Linked DNA regions of Xenopus tropicalis. The protein of the gene in region 3 interacts with the protein of the main gene of each other region in a biochemical or structural test. Links are inferred from orthologs where the notes say so. Each region holds a gene or a part of one and is shown on either strand. Other genes may lie near its edges. The genes, in order: riok1, snrpd1 and prmt5.

What was found.
Region 1: the proteins of prmt5 (region 3) and riok1 are reported together in a solved structure, tested with the Homo sapiens proteins (2 studies listed by BioGRID, with this or other methods). The link is inferred for Xenopus tropicalis from reciprocal best matches to the Homo sapiens genes PRMT5 and RIOK1.
Region 2: the proteins of prmt5 (region 3) and snrpd1 form a complex in vitro, tested with the Homo sapiens proteins (2 studies listed by BioGRID, with this or other methods). The link is inferred for Xenopus tropicalis from reciprocal best matches to the Homo sapiens genes PRMT5 and SNRPD1.

The regions. Positions count from the first base shown.
Region 1 is NC_030682.2:89,093,540-89,097,846, forward strand, and holds the start of riok1 (serine/threonine-protein kinase RIO1), read left to right. Parts: upstream 1-1,505; 5' UTR 1,506-1,598; intron 1,599-2,157; exon of another isoform or gene 2,158-2,257; intron 2,258-2,615; 5' UTR 2,616-2,667; coding exon 2,668-2,871; intron 2,872-3,536; coding exon 3,537-3,627; intron 3,628-4,307. Other genes in the region: pre-mRNA-splicing factor RBM22, read right to left, coding at 1,292-1,345. UniProt on the Homo sapiens protein: Involved in the final steps of cytoplasmic maturation of the 40S ribosomal subunit. Involved in processing of 18S-E pre-rRNA to the mature 18S rRNA. Required for the recycling of NOB1 and PNO1 from the late 40S precursor.
Region 2 is NC_030682.2:65,069,922-65,074,140, reverse strand, and holds the start of snrpd1 (small nuclear ribonucleoprotein Sm D1), read left to right. Parts: upstream 1-1,304; 5' UTR 1,305-1,747; coding exon 1,748-1,761; intron 1,762-1,977; coding exon 1,978-2,054; intron 2,055-4,219. UniProt on the Homo sapiens protein: Plays a role in pre-mRNA splicing as a core component of the spliceosomal U1, U2, U4 and U5 small nuclear ribonucleoproteins (snRNPs), the building blocks of the spliceosome.
Region 3 is NC_030677.2:140,165,779-140,169,331, forward strand, and holds the end of prmt5 (protein arginine N-methyltransferase 5), read right to left. Parts: coding exon 3,529-3,553; intron 3,392-3,528; coding exon 3,216-3,391; intron 3,085-3,215; coding exon 2,975-3,084; intron 2,092-2,974; coding exon 1,998-2,091; intron 1,915-1,997; coding exon 1,798-1,914; intron 1,674-1,797; coding exon 1,609-1,673; intron 1,246-1,608; coding exon 1,093-1,245; 3' UTR 596-1,092; downstream 1-595. UniProt on the Homo sapiens protein: Arginine methyltransferase that can both catalyze the formation of omega-N monomethylarginine (MMA) and symmetrical dimethylarginine (sDMA), with a preference for the formation of MMA.

The DNA.
Region 1 (4,307 bases), on a different chromosome or scaffold from region 3:
AAATGATGTTATGCCATCATAACAGTTATTATGGGAAGACGTTCTGTGTGCACAATTAGCTCCTTAGTTAGCAGCTAATTGTGCACACAGAACGTCTTCCCATAATAACTGTTATGATGGCATAACGTCATTTCCGCAATCAGCAGCTCCTGCCCGCCGTGTCTTGCATTATCCCTTGAATCGCAATAAAAATCGCGATCCATTCATTGCTTTTGCGAAGGCGTTGGTGCGGGCCACAAAATATTGTACCGAGGGCCGCGAGTTTGAGACCCCTGATCTACAGTTCTTCAGATAGTTTGGGAGCATGGCCACAATTAGCCAAGCTGCTGCCGACTTAAGAAGACTAAGCACAATGTATGTAGGTAATCGAGGCCCCAAAAGTTAAGTGCAAAAAAGCTTCCATTAATTGGCCAGACAGATATAATATCTTTCATGTAGTCCCTTAGTGCAGCACTGCTCATATCTGGCAATTAATGATGTGTGGGTTGACGACAAAGTGTCAGAGTTAAAATTTGGCCATGGGTTTGGGTAGGGTGCAGGTCAGACTATGGAAGTCCTCTGCTCCTTAAGATTCCCTGTCTTGGAACAAGAGGTAGCAGAAGTAGAGTATGGAGCAGGAAGACTCACGGATTAAGGTTTTGTGGGTTAGGGTCAGGGGAAGGTTGGCTTTTTCCCAAGACCGTAGATTACTACTGGCAACGTAAAAGGTAAAATCTAGTCCTATACAGAGCATAGTTTAGGGTTCAAACACATCATCATGCAAGTGCCATAAGTACCTATCACTTTCCTAGCCAACAAATACAGTTAAAAATAGGTTTAGCACTGCAGCTGTACTGCACTGGGAATAACAGAGCTGGCACGACTTGCAGTTCAACACTACTTCCATGTACTGTACTGAAACTCGCTGCTCTGATGGAGCCAACACTGTAACGGAATAGCCAGCAGCAGGCAGAACGCACACACAGCGGCCGCCGTACTACTAACCCGCACAGTACAGGGGCACACTGACGCTTATAGCTAGTTCATTACTAACCAGTGTAACCTGGCACTCACCCCTCCCTATCACATCCCTAACCCGCACCCAGCCCCGTTCTACAGCCAGGAGTCTTTTTCCATTTCTACCGTGTCTGCAGCGAATTCCTACTAAAGTACAGTGCCATTCACTACTCTCCGGCCTACCGCTCACTTAGAATTCTAGTCTTTACTAAGCGGCTTTCTCGATGCTAACATACAGAAACCTGGCCATGATGTAGCGCACAAATCTACCCTTCCTCACACACTAAGAACTCACCGCGTCTTCCCAATTTTGCCGATTGTACGTGTTTGATCCGAGCGACGTAGCCATGTTGACTCTCACCACGGCCCGGAAACCAACAGAAAAGCCTAGCACGAATGCGCAAACTACATACGCTAATACGCGTGCGCACTGTGGCACGTATGAGACCGGAATAGAGAGCTGAAATGCTTTCGCGTACTCTGAAGGCAGCACCAGTTCCGTCACATAGCGCTGTCTGGTCACGTGGTCTTGACGCACCGCACGTACAGTCTGCACGCCACATGTGAGCTACTGATATAATAAACACTTCCGAAGTAACCGGGTGAGTACTTGTACAAAGAAGGTTGATGGTTGGTCAGGTTTTAGGCAGTATAGTCTATGGTTGCAATGTGTACAGAGGTGGGAATTAAAAAACTATAAATCTCGTAACTCAAACTGGTCAGTGGAAGCCCCGCCTCAACCCAAAATAAATCTTACATGTCCCAGCATAGACTAGCGGCCAGGTTACTATGGCTTCATTATGGTTTCATTAAACCACGATTTTTTTTTTTGAGACATTCTATTTTTTCCAATTTATAGAACTTTTGGTAATGACCACGATAATATCGTTAAAATAGTGCGATTGTTTTGTGGTTTCCATTAACTTCCACAAAAAAAGTTGTATTTTTTGCAAAGACTATGGCCATTTCAGAATTCATTCAAGCTTTGGTGTTGTGACCTTTTTTGGCCAGGTTGGAGCTGTAGAGTGCTATTGAGAGTCCTATTGAAGGCTTTCAAAATCATGCATTGAAGTTTCAAAGCCAGAAAGGTTTTCTCTCCGTTTACGATAGCTCAGATACAAAAATTTTGTGACTTTCGGATCGCAACCACAATATTTTTGTATGACCAAGAAAAGAATTTAAGCACATCAGAAATTATCGTCGTTACTCCAAATCTTTTCCAATTGTGCTTTTGATTCGCGAAAATTGCTGTTCAAATTGGGTCAGTACACACAGGAATTCAAGCACCTGTCACCTTTTTGCCATGCTGCTTTCGAGCAGTTTGTCACTAAAATTCTACATAAAGCATTTAAAAAAGGCAAGGGGGGAAAGGCTAGACCTAATGTTAAAGATGTTTTGTGACTTATAAATATTGTTTTGTGACGTATTTAAATATTTTTGTGTTACCGTTCTTTAACAAAAACCTCCCATTTTGCAGGGATGTGTATCCAGTGAATGTACTAATGGGAAACATTGGTAGACTTTTGTTTATTGTGTGTTATATGGAGAAATCTATTTTTTTAGTTAATCATGTGTTACTTTTTATTCTTGTAACATTTTTTGGATACACTCTTTTCCAGGTATAAAGCAAAGGCACAAAATAATTTATACAAGGGAGCAAAGGTTAAGCCAATGACTTCTCAAATGTCAGATAATGAAGAAATGGAAAGTTATGAAAGTTTCCTCATGAGAAAAGAACAGGCATCAATGCAGGAGGAAGGAGCCAATAAAGAGGATAGTGAGGATGAGGAGCAGGATGAGGATGATGATTGGTATTGGGATAGAACTGATACAAACATGAAGCACTATTCGGCTACAAGAAGTAGTAATCCACAGGTAATTTGCTTTGCCTTGAAGGGAATTAAAAGTAAAATAATTCTTGACATATTACGGTTGCTTATGGCCTGTTGTAATTTGTGTTAAGACATATGATTAGGTGCCATGTAGGCATTAAACATGTTAAGTTTTTTGGTGTACATATTATTTGAATAAACCATTTTACTTTTTGTGTTTTTCATCATACCAGGAGTTATCAGAAAAGGTCTATGTAAATACAGCCATAAGCACTCACAGAAAAGCTGCAAAAGAAACACAGGATTTTCCTTTCTTCTTTTTTGTACACATGTTCTTCAGTATCAGATTTCCTGCTGTCAGAAACATCTTTCAGGGCAGGGGAATGAGTCTTCTCCTCTCTCCCTTTCCCCCTCCCTTCTCTTGCTCCCTCGCCCAACTGTGCTGTGCAGATCTTAGCTACCTGCAGCTAAAGCTGCAGCATGGAAGCTACTGAGACAAAGCTAAAATAGCAGCTTCTATCTTAAACAGAGAGAGGGAGCTTCTAGGACTCTGTACTCAGATATGGTAAAACTTTCTGCTCACTAAATATAGTGTTCTAGCTTGCACTATTGTGGCTAATCTGTTGGCAGTAAAATGCCAAAATGTCTTTCCTTCTCCTTTAATGTTCTTTCACATTCTTATTTAGAAACCACTTTGTTGTGTTCCAGGCTAACAGAAATGACATACAAAGTGGGTCCTCTAAAACCTACACTGTGTCAGATAAAGTTTTACAGAAGTATGAAAATAAAATCAACTTGGGTGAGTACAAATAACAAGCCTTAAGTGTAAGTCCTTAATTTCTGTTCAGTGTCCTTGAAGTGATTTGTGCATATTTCAAACTAGCTGTAATGAGGGTGCAGTTTCGGTTTGACAGATTCTGCTCCCAAAGTGCTTGGTTCTGCATCCTTTTATTGATAATAGCTTGCTTTTTGTTTATTGATATAATGTATGTATATCTTTATTTATAAAGCGCTACTTATGTACGCAGCGCTGTACAGTAGAATTCATTAATACAGACAGGGGGTTAAAGATAATGGATAAATACAAAGTACAACAATAAATACAATAAATACAAAGTGCAGTTGCAATAAGAGTCAGAAACACAAGATGAAGGCGGTCCCTGCCTGTAGAGCTTACAATCTATATGGGAGGGGTAACTAACAGACACAAATAGGCAAATATAAGTGCTATAGGTCACAGTGGGTGACATTACAGTATAAGTGCCAGTTTCCAGATCAGGTGCTGGGCGAGTGCTCCAAAAGGTAGTCTTTAAGTTTAGTTTTAAAAAGACTGAGGGATGATTCTCTCCGGAGGACATCAGGGAGGGAATTCCAAATGTAAGGGGCAGCAAGGCAGAAGGGTTTAAGGCGGGAAACAGCAGTAGTAGTGGGGGGCGCAACCAAACGGTTGCTCTGCGAGGAACGAAGGAGTCGGCCAGG
Region 2 (4,219 bases), on a different chromosome or scaffold from region 3:
CTTTTATACATTCAAATGGAAAAAGTGTTGAGGAGCAACACAAGCATAAAAATAATCCTGGGGGTGGCAAATGAGAGCTATGATTGGCTATTGGTAGCCCTATGTGGACTGGCAGCCTACACAAGGCTCTGTTTGTCATTATACTTGGTTTTTATTCAACCAAAACTTGCCTCCTAACCAGAAATTCAAAAATAAGCACCTGCTTTGAGGCCACTGGGAGCAACATCCAAGGGGTTGGTGAGCAACATATTGCTCCTGAGCCACTGGTTGGGGATCAGTGCTTTAAGTAGTACTCATTGTGAGGGTATTGGGTCCAAGAAGTGAAGTGTAACGCTTGTTTGGCTATATATAGACAAAACCCATGCTAGTGTTAGGTTTAGAGCATGGGCTACATGCGACTCTCTTAGACAAAATGGGCCTTCGCTAGGTGGAAGAGACCATGCGGAGTAAGGGTGTAGTGGTCCCAGGCTCAGTGGAGCTGTTCCTTGAGATTCAGAAGGCAGCCAAAGAGAAAGTCACATCTCCTTGCTAGACACTATATGAGACTGCAAGGGGTGTGATCAACCCAAATAACCAATAAGGTGTAAACTATATACATGGGACTTTGCCCAGCAGGGGCGGGCCAAGCTGACCAGGCGCCCTAGGCAACCCGGTTGGCCACCCCCCACCCCCTTGCGTGTGCTTAGGCATTTGGCCACTCCCCCTCTCCCCGAATGGCGCCAAAACAAACGCAAGGGGGGGGGGTGCAATCCAATCGGTCATTGCCTCCACCACTAATTACAAGCGGTGGGGGCAATGACAAGTAGCAGGACTAGGGGTAGGCAGAAGAGGCTCCTGTCTGGCGCCCCCCAATCGTTGCGCCCGAGGCAGCTGCCTCTTCTGCCTACCCCTAGTTCCGGCCCTGTTGCCCAGTAACAGTACAAAATCAGAAGAGGTAGGATTTAAAGCCATAGGGGAGCTTAACCCTATGGGTCCCTACGGAAGATTCAAACCTCAGCACTAGTTGTCTAAAGGTCTCTAACAATGGGGATTGCAGACAGCATATCAAAAGCATGTAAAAAAAAAAAAATGCAGTGGCAGGTAAGCAGGTAAAGGGATGTTGTCTTCAGAAAACGAAACATTAACTTTTACCTAAAAATAAAGTTTAATAGTGAGAATACTTATTTTCATGCCATGCAATGCCAATGGCCAACCTAGATCCAAAATGAAATTTAGCTTCAATACCACGCCCTCTTCTACTTCGGCCCCGCCCCGATGGTGTTGTAGCGTTTCTGTTGAATTAAATGCACCAGTTGACTTTAGCTCAGCTATGTATGCTAAGTTTTTATTACAACAGTATTTCTTTATAAATGCATTGCGCTGTATTAGACGAAATTTTAAGTAATCCACAAGCATAAAAGGCTTCGCTGGAACGCCGCTTTGTGCATTTTATTTAAGCAAGTATCTTAACTGCAGTGTAGGCCTCCCCTTATAGTATTGCTTTTTAAAAGTCGAAAATGTAATTCTCCTTTTTCTACGTGGAGACAGGCTAGCGTTTTCATCTTCTATTACACATGTAACAAAAACTTCCGCCCTCGACTGGGGCTTCCGCTTCCGGATCTGACGTAGGTGCCGATTTCCGCTGGAACGTTGCTTTCGCTCAATGAGAATTCGGAGGGTCTAAAAGTAAATTTTCGCGTTTCATTTTGCCAGTCCTATAACCCTTTTCTGGCCGAAGGAGTCGGATCCGCGTTCGTATTAAGAAGTCATGAAGTTAGTTAGGTAAGCGTTTAGATTGTTATGGGTTCCTTCACAGAGGATGGTGGTGGATTGAGAGTTACGTTTGAGAGCTTTGTGTAAGTAGAAGATTACGGCGGGAAGTAAAGGCTCCGTCGGATAATAATGTATTAGCGAGTCTGCGTTGTAATATAAACTGTGTAACTAATGGGTTCATCACGAGCGGCTGGCCATGAACGCTTTTGTTTTTTTTTCTCATAGGTTTTTGATGAAATTAAGTCATGAAACTGTCACAGTGGAACTTAAGAACGGAACCCAAGTGCATGGCACGATCACAGGTAATACAGAGGGGCACATAAATATATACCATAACATTGCTATGTGTACTTAATGTGCACAATGGAAATACTTATTGATAATATCTTTATAAAAGAGACATACCATTTTGTCTTGCTTCAGTGTGTATTGGTTTATATACTACTAGCAAAGGTGTTACTGGTGGGAAATAATGAATTTTCTCAGACTTAATATATAAATAAGCTGTGTGCATCCATGATTGCCCAGTGGGCAGGTGGAACCATTTGCAAGCTGGCATTAAATAATGTGAATTACTGAAAGTCTAGCATGCACCCCAGTGCTGGATATGGCAACTTCAGCCAGCTCCTCTGATTGGTCTCACACTTATGAGCATTTGGATCTGTGGGTCAGGGTGAACATTTATTGGTAGGAGGTAGGTCCGGTGGGGAATATGTAGAAAAGGGGAAGCTTCCCCACAATTGTGGTTTGACTCTGATCATAATTGGCTGTGTATTAGTAACCCCTGTGGTGCAAAGAGCAGGGACTGGTTCTGGTCAATGTGTCTTCTCTGTAAGTCGGTGAAGCCATGCTGTTTTGAATACAGAGTGTAGGTCTTGTCATATACACATGCGTGTCACCTCAAAAATACAGTTCCGGCAGCATAGGTTACATAACTTCTGCTGTCTTTTGTTGCTAAGACTTGGCTTCTGTGCAGTAAGTTTTATTTTGATGGAATGTGCTAAGAAAAGTAGCGTTTATTGAAATTTTCGCCCAAAAACCCACTAGCCCCACCCACCTGTTTTACTACCTGCTGCCTTCTTTTCCCAGGCTGCATCTAGGCCAGTGGTTCGTGAGCAACATGTTGCTCTCCAACCCCTTGGATGTTGCTCCCAGTGGCTTTAAAACAGGTGCTTATTTTTGAATTATGGGCTTTGAGGCATGTTTTGGTTGCATAAAAACCAGATATGCTGCCAAACAGAACATCCTGTAGGTTTTTCAGTCCATATAGGGGTTACCAAATAGCCAATAACAGTCCTTATTTAGTAACCAAAGGAACATGTATTATGCCTGTTTTGCTCCCCAAGTCTTCTTATATTTGAATGTGACTCACGGATAAAAAAAGGTTGGGGATCCCTGATCTAGGCAAACCTGATAGGGAGCTGAAGCCTTCCTTTGTGTGAGTGCAGGGCTGTGATTGGCAACCCCCCCTCCTACTGTGTTTATGGCAGGGACCGTTAGGACACGCCCCCCTCCCTCATTTGAAACAGGGAACTAAGAGAATATTTTTGTTAATCCTATATGCCTCCTTTAAATTTTGTTGGATGCCCTAGTAAAGCACCAATAACTGCAAATAACAGTGATACTAATCTGTGATTACTGTTGTGTTCAGCCATTGGACAACTTCCCAGTTTATGGTACTCAGTGCTAATTTTTAAACCAGGGGCACCTAATCTCCCCAAAATGCCATCCCACCGACTAGAATGTAAATCGCCGATGCAGTGGCATATGCGGCAGGGCGATTTGCCGAAGTTGCAAAGGAACTTCGGCAATTTCTGCGCCATGTATGCCGTCCCACCGGGAATTACATTCTAGCCGGTGGGATGGCATTTCGGGGAGATTTGTCGAGTGGCGACTAATCTCCCCGTCTGCCACAGCCCTTAGTTTACAAAATATTCTGCCCCTGCTTGCAATGCCTATTCACATCTCCAACCTATTCTGTTGTGTTCTTTCATGTTACCACAAATTTGTTTGGACATGGGACAACAACTTGACAGAGACATCTCATCCGGGAGAAAGTCAACAGCTATTTTTAGTTACCAAAATTTTGGTCAAATAGAATGGGCCAGTCTGTTGTGGGCAGGGGGACCTGTCAGATTTTATCATACCATAGGGTACAACCAAATGCAACAAAACCTTTTTCAAAGATGTTCTTTTAATTTGTCATACGTTTACCTTAAAGGGCACCGATCGCGCTAAAATTGCTTCCCCACCAAAGTTGCAGGCTAATAGAGCCCACACTCTGGTTGGGAGATGCAGTAGTTTTTGGGTTTTTTTTAAAGTCTGTCTGCACTAGGCCGCCCCCCACCAGGAGGGAGCTCCCAGTGCGGCGGCCATGTTAATTAAGCATGCATGCGCATTATGCGGGAGACTCCCGCTCACTTATTATGTGCATGCATGTAATGTAGGAGCTGCGGATGCGACTTGC
Region 3 (3,553 bases):
AAAATAGAACCTCCTAGCACGCTATGATTGTGAATTTCAAGACTGAAGGAAATAAGATTTATATTATTTATATAGTGTAAGTATTTTGCCTGACTAGCACAATAGAAAATATGTAATTATTTCTAAGGGTGACAGGTCCACCTGCAAAACACCTATCATATTAGAATAAAACTTTATGGTGTGTTTTTTTCTTTTTAGTTGTCAGAGTAGCTCACCAACCCAGAAAAGCATGTAATAGGGTCAAAGGGAAGAGAAGCTTAAAAAAAGGTGCTTAAACACTAAACTTCCAAAAATAAATATAGATATACAATTTTTACCTACCTTTTTCCATAAACTGAAAGGAAACTAACATTTTATTGCAAAATTCCTTTCTTAGGCTCACAGTAAGATGAAACCCCTCTTCCCACCTTGTTCCATTGTTAAGTCATTTAGTCCCTCTGCTTTCTATAGTGCGTAGTGCACAGATTTTTTTAAAGAAGCAGATCACCAGAATCGCTTTACATGGAATAAGGTAAGGTAGGGGTTGCATGACACTGCGATAAAGGGCGGGAGATGGCAAATGGTCTGCTTAATACAAAAATCTGTGCATTCCATATTTCTCACAAGGAACTAGATTTATTAATAGTTTTGCTCACCAGGCAGAGTCCATGTCTGATGGTACATTTTAATGGTTTGTGATTCTAGAGAAATAGACCGTTACAAAATCTGTATCTTCCCCTAAAAAATGCTTTGAACCATCAACAGCACAATTGAATAAACTTGGTTATATTTCATATTAAATTTACTTCCACCGGTATTCAAAGGTAACGTTAGAACTTTGGCATACTCTTAGATGTAATGTCCGCAGGTGCATAAATTAACTCAGGAACCTTTTAATATTAAACATTGCTATTAACACATAATAAAAAAAGGACTATAAGTGAACAAACATACAGTTCAACTGCAGGAAGCCTCTCATAGAGGCAAAGTCATAAGTGCTGATAGTAACCCATTGTGCGCTACCCTTCTGCAGCACAAACCCCTAGTATTTCTCCATTCGTTGTATGCCCCATGTCACTCTCTTATGAAGGTGATGGTTTTCAAACTTGTCTATCACAGGCCAATTGTGTAGGAACGTCCTGTAGGATTGTGAATTGCAGAGCACACAGGGGATGTTACAGCCCATTCGTACCAAACCTTCTTGCCATTATTACAACGCCAAAATCGGACACAAACAGTGTCGCCCTCCCGCAAAGGAATGGGTTGCTGAAAAAGAAAGGGACTGGTTAATAGAACAAAACAGAAAAAGAATTAAGAGTTTACAACAATAACTTAAAGCACCATAGCAAGCATAAATAGTACAATTCATTGTCATGTTGTGCAGTTGACTTTATTTTACTTCCTGTTCCCTTGGTCAGCTTATTAAACTTCCAAAAAAATCTCTATAGAATATTTATTTTATGCCAGTATATTAAAAGTTATCACCTGCTTCATGAAGGCCCCACATCAGAGGAAGCAACAGGACTATTTGCAAAACTGCATAAATCATACTTTCAATGAGTGGGTAAACAAGACGGGTGATCTATACATAGATATTGTGGATGTTCTCTAAGTGTATGTATTATTTACCTTGATAGGAAAGAGGATGGGAAACCAAGAAAACATGCCTGGGGAGTGACTTTCAGGACAAATGCCTGCAAAAGACAAAAGATTATAATGTACAAAAAGGCCATTCTTTGAAAAAAATTAAATGAAAATTCAATGAGTTAATGCAAAGTCTGTAATAATGTGATGCATCTTATGGAAGGTTATGCTTACTCAGCGTCACATCTTTGTACAACACAGCGTCAAAATATCCAGCAAACCCATGTAGCACTGTGTTTAGATCTACTCTGTACTGCAGGCAAATGTAGCGGTTATTATCGATTACAGCATCTAGGAGAAAAGAACTAATGAAACAAACAAAAAAAACCTATATAGCAGTTCTATGGATTTTCTTTGCACCTTTCCTAACTCACCTTTGTTGGGGTGGAGGAATGTGAAGCATGGCAAGGGATCAGATAACTGATGGAAGTTGTGTAGCCTAACGACATAGGGCATCTCAAACTGAGCCTGGAGATATGGAAACAGCAGACCATGTGTAAAACAACTTCACACAATAAATAACCCTATAATATAGGCCAGTTGCCAAATAAGTTTTTTTTTTTTTTTTAAACTTTTTTGTGTCCAACATGAGGTCCAACATTTGGCCAGGCCCCACCCAGTCATAATTGTACACATTATTAAGATAGCAAATATAACCCTAATTCATTTTCAGGGCTTTCTAGTATTTAGAACAGCAAAATCGGTGTAGGCCAAACTTGGCTTCAGGTTTGGCTTGCCCCAAATTTTGGGAAACACTGGTCTAGATACACTACAATACCTTGGATCATTTTATCTCCATAGACTTCTTAATGTCTAAAGGGTTTAAAATGCATATATTCTTAATACTGAACTCTACTTTTAAGGCTTGAAAAACTGGTGAACACTATTCCAGTACATTCAACTATCAAAGTCAATTTTTATTTTTAGGTTTGAAGAACTCAGCAGGTTAACAGGACAAAAATGTAGAATAACCCCTTACTTGCTTTGCAGAAAGTAGTAATATGAAAGGCAAGACAAAACAATGAAGCAACATTGCAGTATCTTATTTCTTTAAACATCTAGTACTGAATTATATTTATCCATGTAAAAGCAAGTTTTATTTTAGCTAAATAAAAATATAGAGCTGTATTTATCAGAGCTTTACTAGCAAAAGATAGTAGGAAATGTGCTGCCATCAAAGCATTCTATAATGGCAAAAAACCACTGGTCCACAAATAAAAACAAAGGGATTTTTAAAAAAAATAGACAGGAAAAACACTATTATTTGTGAATCTGCAAATATCACTATACTACAGGCAAGTGGACAAAATATGATGTCTACAAGTAACTTAATATATTAAAATGTACTTACCTCAGGGTCTCTGTCTTTTTCCCTGCAAGCTCGTACCTCATTATACAGTTTGGATGAAGAGATCGGCGCCAAGTAAGAAGTGTATTCACTGGGAATACTAACTCCATCCTCTGCCAAAAAAAAGAAAAGGCACATAAGGCATATTCAAAAAGTGATGAGGATAATCTGGAGACATAAAACCAAGGGAATGTTCATAGGATCCACATCAAAAGAATAAATGATAATTGTGCACATTTTGAACCTTTCAGGAAGTGCTGAGCTCCGTCCAGACATTCAGGAGACAGTTCGTTATCACCAAATGATCCCAGAAGCTCACTAACTATAATATCAGCCTTCTCAGGTGCCTTCCATTCTCTCATGTCACCAGACACCACAGTCACTTGACTGCCCCATTCCTCATAACGCCACCCTTCCAACCTGAGAGACAAAAACAACGATCATATAAGGATAAGAGAGTTTAAAAGAGCACTGTACATTGTACAATTGTATGTCAAATATAGCAATATAGCATAGTATTGCAAAAGACTACCAAAAGGTTTTTATTTCCCACTCACGTTATCACAGCATTGGGGTTCTTTT